Sus scrofa: one gene and its partner. The protein of the gene in region 2 purifies or fractionates together with the protein of the main gene of each other region. This does not show direct contact. Links are inferred from orthologs where the notes say so. Each region holds a gene or a part of one and is shown on either strand. Other genes may lie near its edges.

The links.
Region 1: the proteins of GGH (region 2) and CANX purify together in Homo sapiens (affinity purification with mass spectrometry; 3 studies listed by BioGRID and IntAct, with this or other methods). This does not show direct contact. The link is inferred for Sus scrofa from reciprocal best matches to the Homo sapiens genes GGH and CANX.

What each region holds. Positions count from the first base shown.
Region 1 is NC_010444.4:78,912,921-78,917,324, forward strand, and holds the start of CANX (calnexin), read right to left. Parts: upstream 2,905-4,404; 5' UTR 2,726-2,904; intron 1-2,725. UniProt on the Homo sapiens protein: Calcium-binding protein that interacts with newly synthesized monoglucosylated glycoproteins in the endoplasmic reticulum. It may act in assisting protein assembly and/or in the retention within the ER of unassembled protein subunits.
Region 2 is NC_010446.5:71,016,992-71,020,804, reverse strand, and holds the end of GGH (gamma-glutamyl hydrolase), read right to left. Parts: intron 2,865-3,813; coding exon 2,727-2,864; intron 679-2,726; coding exon 557-678; 3' UTR 292-556; downstream 1-291. UniProt on the Homo sapiens protein: Hydrolyzes the polyglutamate sidechains of pteroylpolyglutamates. Progressively removes gamma-glutamyl residues from pteroylpoly-gamma-glutamate to yield pteroyl-alpha-glutamate (folic acid) and free glutamate.

The DNA of each region.
Region 1 (4,404 bases), on a different chromosome or scaffold from region 2:
AGGAACCATTTAAAAGGAATTTGATTCCAGTCACAGATAACCATTTTACGACTACTTTCTGTATCTGTATTGTCTGATATTACTACATGTCCATAAAAGCACTTAAAGGGGGGAAAGTACATAAAATTCAAAGTGGTCTTTATTGTAAATGCCCATCTACTTGAAAATAGATATATACTGCCTAGTTTCCTAGTTTACTGTTTTGAAGTTTGCTTTTCACTGACAGGAACATTAAAATCTATTTTTCCATAGCGGTTTTTTCCTATAAAGTAAGAAGGTTTAAGAGGTGGCTACTCAAACGCTGCTGAAGATTCTAAATCCTCTAAAAAGCATAATTCTCCAAATAATTTTCACAGCTCATAGCTAAGATTAATTTAAATGTACATCTGTTTTAGGCAACAAAATATTCAACCTGTACCTTCCTGCAATTCTACAGTAAGTCTACAGGTTATAACTATGTTCAGGCACTTTTATTATTTTCTAGGAGTTGTTATGAGCTGCCAGCTCTTCTTTGCACAGTTCAGTTCATTATTCCATTCAAAGTAGTTTCATGGGAGTTCCCGTCGTGGCGCAGTGGTTAATGAATCCGACTAGGAACCATGAGGTTGCGGGTTCGGTCCCTGGCCTTGCTCAGTGGGTTAACGATCCGGCGTTGCCGTGAGCTGTGGTGTAGGTTGCAGACGCGGCTCAGATCCCGCGTTGCCCCGCATTGCTGTGGCTCTGGCGTAGGCCAGTGGCTACAGCTCTGATTAGACCCCTAGCCTGGGAACCTCCATATGCCGAGGGAGTGGCCCAAAGAAATAGCAAAAAGACAAAAAACAAAACAAACAAAAAAAAAACAAAGTAGTTTCATGTTCACCATCTTACTTGTCCCTCCTAAAAAGCCCCCTAATGGTAAGGTAGGTAGTCAGAGGATTCCTCACTCCAATTTTAAAGACATAGAAACCAACTTAGCTCATAAGCTAGTTACCATGCTGGGCCTGGAATTCAAGTCTCTTGAGTCTGCATTTATGCTTACCAACTGTCGCTTCGTTCCCTTAAGCTATCTCTCAGGGCAAAGTGAACTCTGTAACTGAAAGGATGCAATAGCAGGATTGCCAAAACTGCAGCAACAACTTCTGTCAAAACGTTTACTCTTTGGAAGATAATGTGTTAGCTGAAACTGTTAAGGAGAGATAGTCAAGTAGGAAGGGATGCTGACACCCATTATCGGATAGGTCAGAAAATCTGCGGTGCAACACATTTACTCCAATACACAGCTCACTGTAGCCACCTCATGATCCAGTTTCCTGGCTTGTTTGCTTGTGCACACAGACTGGTGCACAGGAGGACTCCCACACAGTGCTTTACCTCTGCTCTAACTACAGCAAATATACAACTCAGCAGTGACCCTTCAACAGTACTGAAAAAAGAGTGAGGTACACAACAGTCTTGAAGATCAACGGGGTTCCCCTCTTAAAACAAAACAAAACAGAACGAAAACCTCCCCACACCATTCTACCCATTAAGAAATTAAGTAAAAGGTTCTATTTCTTAAATTAGAGGTAAAGAGACCTAACTGTGGTTCACCTTTCTCCTCCCAAGCTTTTAATTAATATCCAGCTCAGTTTAACTTCCCTCAATCAGCAGTCAAACCACTAGGTCCAGTTTCTTCCTCCTATTTCCATAAATGTGACTTCAGGTCCTGGAAAATAGGACTTAGCTAATTAGGATGTTAGTGTAGTGGATCAACAGCATTCACCATAATAATTTACTGCAGTCATTTATCAAGCAGTTAAAAATGTACATCTAACTTTCCTGCTCTTTCTTACACACGTCTTAATGGTAACAACAACTCTATCAGGTATTACATCCATTATCTGAAACGAAGTGAACTGCCCAGGTTCACATAGCAACAAATGGCTGATGAAGGACCTGAACAAGGGCCTTAGTCTTAACCACTACACACAAACTGCCTAGCTTTCAACTGTAATTCCAACGTGATCATAAAACTAATCGCATGACCTTGGGCCGATCATTTCTGAGCTCTGGGCCTCAGTTTCCTTCACTATAAAACGACCTGCCCACGGAGAGCTTTTGGGTGCTTTCCTGCTTTTAAAAGCCCACTGAATTTACGACGAGATTACTTACTCCCCCAATCTCCAAATAGATGTAAATGTTAGGACTTAAGTTTTTTAACCAGTGCGTGTTCTAGCACATTCTCCATACTCTTCAGGCTGCTACAGTCCAGTCTTCACTTTGCGGTTTTAATTTTCAAATTTTAGATCTGTAATGCTAATTCTAAATATCCTCTCTCTGTCCTATTATCACCTTTCCCCACTACTAAGAGTACCAACAAGGCCCGATCCTATTCCAGACCTTTACCCGGTTACTCTACCCCACCTCACAGCTTCCCAGGCAGTCAGCAATAGGTATAAGAAAGCCCTAGAAGCAGAACCATGAAGAGAAGTTAGCTTTCCCAGAGGTCAAGAAAGGCTCTAGGACACCTGCCACGCCTCCCAACCCCGGCGGCGCGGCCTGGGCCTGGCTCCGCAACTCAAGCGGCCCAGGTTCAGGCCTAACCCATCCCGTCTGGCGGGTCCACCAGGGCCTGAGCCATCGAAACTCAGCCGGACCCCTCAGCCCCGGCCACGCCCGGCTTCTCGAGACCTCCGCCGCCAGGCCGCGCACCCAGGCCCCCGAGGGTCCTCACAGGCCCGAAGACACGGGCAGGCCCCTGTCTCACCTCAAGCCTCAGGAGGACCGCCGGTGGTGCCCGCGCCTCCTCCCGCCCGCACACCTGGCCCCACGCTGCAGTGGAGACAGCGGCTGAGGGAGCCTGACCGTCACGTGCCGCAGAACCAAGAGGCCTCGACTCCTGCAGCCGCCGCGCGAGCGAGCCCCACCGCACGAAGCCCGGCCCTGCGTCCGCCCCTGTCTCCTCAGTAGCTACCACCAGCGCCAAGTCCCGCCCTCTCGCGCAAGATCCTGAATTCAATTGGTTATTGTGGCCATCGCTCTATGCACCTTCCCATACGCCCCCTAGGGCTATTCTTCGTGGAGTGTGGGGATTGGTTAGGAGTGAGGCAGGAAGTGGCTGTTGGTTGGGCAGTATGGAAGGAGGCGGTGTACGGCGGCATCGGGATCGGCGGGGGCGCGCGCGCGCGCGCGCGCGTCGTGGGGCGGGACTGGCCAGGCAGGCGTTCCCGCGCTGGTTGTTCTGGTGCCTTAGTGGGCGCGCTGCCCGGCACTGCATCCTAATTTCTATGGTTTCGACCGTTCAGGTGCCTGGACCCGGGCCTCGGGGTCTGGCATCTCATTCCCTTCGATGAGAGAGCAAATGGAAGCTGGCAGGATGGGTGGGAGGTCCATTGAGCCATCGGGAAGGACCTGGTTTCCAGTGCAGCGAGTGCGCAGATATGATGGAATCAGTCACGGCTCCCTTGGCCTGTCCTGGAGTCGCTGTACACCAGGCGCCACCGTTCCTGCAGAGTCATTGCTCTGGGCCCAGCAGTCTGAGGCCGCCTTATCACCCAACGTCAAAATATAGCCCAGAATACTATAATCCAGCGTTACTTCAACTTTCAATTTGTGATGTTTCCAAAAGCAAGATAAGACAAAAAGGGCACAATCACACTTAACAGCAGTGAGTGAGAAAAAGATGGTGCAATGGAAAATTTTCAAACACACCACAGATTTTGTAACTAACTTTTAGCACATCTTCAGTTTTCTGGGCCTGAGACAGAGCAGGACTGTAGATCCTACTAAGGATCTTGTTAGAGATTTTTTTTCCGTTAAAGCACAATGTTCTTAAAAGGAAGCTGAGGCCAAATCTCTGAAGAATGAATTTTGTGTTTGTTTTTTTCACAATTTGAAGTCACTTTATTTACTGACCCAGATTACAAAAATAATCACATAGACAACTCAGTTCATCCATTTAATAAGCCTGTTAGATCTATTTATCTGGGCCCTTCAGGAGAAGATAGTTTGAAGGGCCACAGGATGTTGTTTGCTTCTTTGAAGCATTTTCCAACAGTACGGATTTCATGAATAAGATCCTCCAGGAGTTACTATTGTGGCTTAGTGAATTAAGAACCTAACATAGTGTCTGTGAGGATGCGGATTCAATCCCTGGCCTTGCTCAGTGGGTTAAGGATCCATCCTAAGCTTAGGCGTAGGTCACAAATGTGGCTGCAATCCCATGGGTTTTTTTGTTGTTGTTGTTTTTGTTTTTTTCATTTTTCTTATTACTCAAATGAATTTATCACATCTGCAATCCCATGTTGCTGTGGCGGTGGTGTAGGCCAGCAGCTGCAGCTCTGATTCAACCCCTAGCCTGGGAACTTCCATATGCCACATATGTGGGCCTAAAAAAAACAAAAACAAAAAAAAAGGGGGAGGGAGGGGGAGAAAGAAAGAAAAGAG
Region 2 (3,813 bases):
GAAGGGGATTGAGATAAACTCCCAGTTAAAAAGTGAGTGAGTCACGGGTAGCAAGGTAAACACAGAAAATACGGTCGACAATACTGTAACAGCTTCGCATGTGACAGTAACTGGACGTACTGTTAAGGTGGTCATTTTGTAAAGTATAAAAACATCAAATCACCATGTTATACACCTAAAACTCAGATCATGATGTATGTTAATTATAACTCATAAAAAATTAATAAAAAAGTCTTCAGCAAGGATGAGGCAGGTAGATGGGCAGGAGGAAGTATGTATTTCCAGAATCAATTAGTTAGAAAAAATATCTATTTTCAATAAATTTATTTTTTCTAATCTTCAGATAAATCTTTTCTATGAAATACATTATGATTATCTGTCTCACTGATTATTAAATGTTATATAAATAGTCAAATTTACTAAACGAAAAATTGGAGCCAATAACATCATAGAAAAGGAATCTCTGTGGCTTTCTATTATTGCCATGAATAGCAAGACATTATAACAGTTTAATCATGGAATTAATCAAAATTCCTTGTTAACACATTGAAGGCTTTCAATCAAATACATAACTTTGCTGAAACGAAGAAATATTTCCAGTATAAACCGGACGGAACTGATAAATTAGTGCTTTGCTCTCTTCAACATCAGATTCAAAATGATGGCTGTTTTTCCGAGCTGCAAGAATAAGAAAGTGTTAATTTTTAAAAAGACAGTATAAAGTTTTTGAAAGCTACTTGATAACAATTCTTCCTATAATCAGCATTAAGTAGGACAATACCAGCAAAAAAGGACAAAAGGTTTACAGAATTTTCCCCCAAATAAGGCAGCACCCAGGCTGCAGGAGTGACCTCCTGACAGCAGTCGTGCCTGCCCTACCCCATGTGACACTCACTGCTCCCCCACTTCTTTTTCTTTTTTTTTTTTTTATTTGTCTGTCTTTTTTGTTGTTGTTTCTTTGTTTTTTAAGGGCCACACCCGAGGCACATGGATGTTCCCAGGGTAGGGGTTGAATCAGAGCTACAACTGCCAGCCAGTGCCACAACCACAGCAATGAGGGATCCATACTGCATCTGTGACCTACACCACAGCTCACGTCAATGCCGAATCTGTAACCCACTGAGCGCGGCCAGGGATCAAATTTGCATCCTCAGGGATACTAGTCAGGTTCATTACCGCTGAGCCACAATGGGAACTCCTCACTGCCCCTTTCATTCAAACAGCTACTAAGCGCCTACTGTGTGCAAGGCTGAGCAGGGCCTGGGGATGGAAACATCCACAAGGCAAGGTCCTGACGCTCAGGGAGTCGAGTCTAGTACCACACAGAATTGGCTGCTGCCACGTTTTTATAGACTAAGCTCAAGGAGATGCTTTAGGAGAAAAGAGGAGGGAGAAACTAGCAAAGCTGAGGCAGGGGGAGAAGTGAGACACTTCGCACAGAAAAGGCAGAAATTGGAAATACAAAGAGGCACAAAGAAGTCAGTGCGGCTGAAGGTTTGGATATGGGCGGGGGAGGGCACAGACCTTGCCCTAAAGTCAAAACGAAGTCAAAACAGACCTTTGCAGCATTTTAGAAAGAGATACTGGGAGATGAAGACTGTTTAGCCTTGACCCGAGATAACAGTGCAGAGTTTGCTATGTCCACTGCTGTCCTCGTTTACTACTACACACGCACCATGAAAATGTTTCTTGGGACTAAAATTGCACACAGGAGAATTTCTTTTTTTTAATATGAGGGTTTTGTCATGAAATTATCCATTCAATTGAGCACAATTCTAAACCACAGTGAACTCAGGAGGAAGAACTTTACCGCAGGTGTGGGCAGAAGGGTTGATAAAACCCTAGGGACAGCTTGGAGGGAAGACGCTGACAAGGTGCTTGCGGAGGCTTCATGCGGCCACGCTCTGCCTCAGTGACATCCCATCCGCTGCGAGCTGTGCCTGGAGCTAGGCCTCAACTCGACTACAACTTAAGCATCTAGAGCCAAATTCTCAGTTTACCCACAAACATAACATGGCATGAATACATCTGTGTTTTCATCACGAACAAGCAGGCAAAGCATATTAACTTTCTCCAATGTGCCAATACCTACAGAGAGACAGCCTGAAAATCACAGACTGATGAATGTATATTCAACTTATATATACATAAGTTGTCTTGTAAAAGTAAGAACTAATTCTCAGAGAATGTTATAATTAAAGCATTATTCCTAGAGTTTCCACTGTGGTGCAACAGGATCAGTGGCATTTTGGGAGTGCTGGGACACAGGTTCGATCCCCAGCCCAGCACAGTGGGTTAAAGATCTGGCACTGCTGCAGCTGTGGCCTATGTGGAGCTTGTGGCTCAGATCTGATCCCTGGCCTGGGAACTCCACATGCCGCAGAGAGGCCAAAAAAGAAAAAAAGGGGGAAAAAACAAAAATATTATTCCTAAAAAGAGTAACAGAAGAGAAAAAAAAAAATTTCAAGATAGGGAGGAAAAAACCCAATCTTTACGCTGTTGTTCAAGAATTCAGCCCACCTTAAAGTGTACAATCCTGTTAACTGAAACAATCATCCTGGTTTGACCTGAATGACTAATACCCCAATACTGGGGCTTTCACGTGAATTAATTTTTTTTAATTAAATCTACAGAACATTTATAGAGCAAAAAGAGTACCCGGAAGTTCAAACAAGGGCAATCTGCTTCAAAACCACACTGTTGTGATAACAGAGTGATAAAATTACCTTCAGACACAAAGAACTCTGCTAAATAAAATGCAGCCTTCACAGCGTTAGGTGCGTGGGAAATGCCCTTTAGTGTCCCCCACTCATAAGGCGCTTTCTCTGGATGCCACTGGACGCCATACACTGGATGCTGGTATCCTGCACAAGCAACACAGACTGCTAAGTATTAAGTAGCAAGAATGGTTTAAGATGTTACAATTAAATTATGTTTTACACCCCTTGTAAAGCATTACTTTCTTTTTTTTTTTTTTTTTTTTTTGTCTTTTTGCTATCTCTTGGGCCGCTCCCGCGGCATATGGAGGTTCCCAGGCTAGGGGTCCAATCGGAGCTGTAGCCACCAGCCTACGCCAGAGCCACAGCAACACGGGATCCGAGCCGCGTCTGCAGCCTACACCACAGCTCACGGCAACGCCGGATCGTTAACCCACTGAGCAAGGGCAGGGATCGAACCCGCAACCTCATGGTTCTTAGTCGGATTCGTTAACCACTGCGCCACGACGGGAACTCCAGCATTACTTTCTAACACACAATCTTAGACAAAGTAAAACTGTGCACATTCAGACACAAAGAATTTCAGTTCACAGACAACAAGAAAGTTCACAGTACAATATTTCACTGACTTTCCACCTGTTATGATTTGAAATATGATTCATTTCACTAGGTGATCAGAGTAGAGAAACAACTGAGCCTTTGAATATATTCCTGTTCAAGTCAAGTGCATATCTGATTCGGCCTACACTACAGCTCACAGCAACACCGGACCCTTAACCCACTGAACGGGGCCAGGGATCAAATCTGCATCCTCATGGATGTTAGTCAGATTCATTTCCACTGAGGCACAATGGGAACTCCTGGTGTCCTTTTATGTAAGCCAGTCTGTCTCAGCCTACACTGTGTTTCTCTGTTAGCTGGTGGAATGGTTCATGGCTTCATGGTGCCAATTTTCAAATAGTTTTTAAAAGTTTAAATTTGGTATAAAAGATTTTTGTTTATGTTGTTCACTTATTTTTAGAATTCTTAAGTGTCTTTATATATAAAAATGATATGGGAGTTTCCGTCGTGGCGCAGTGGTTAACAAATCCGACTA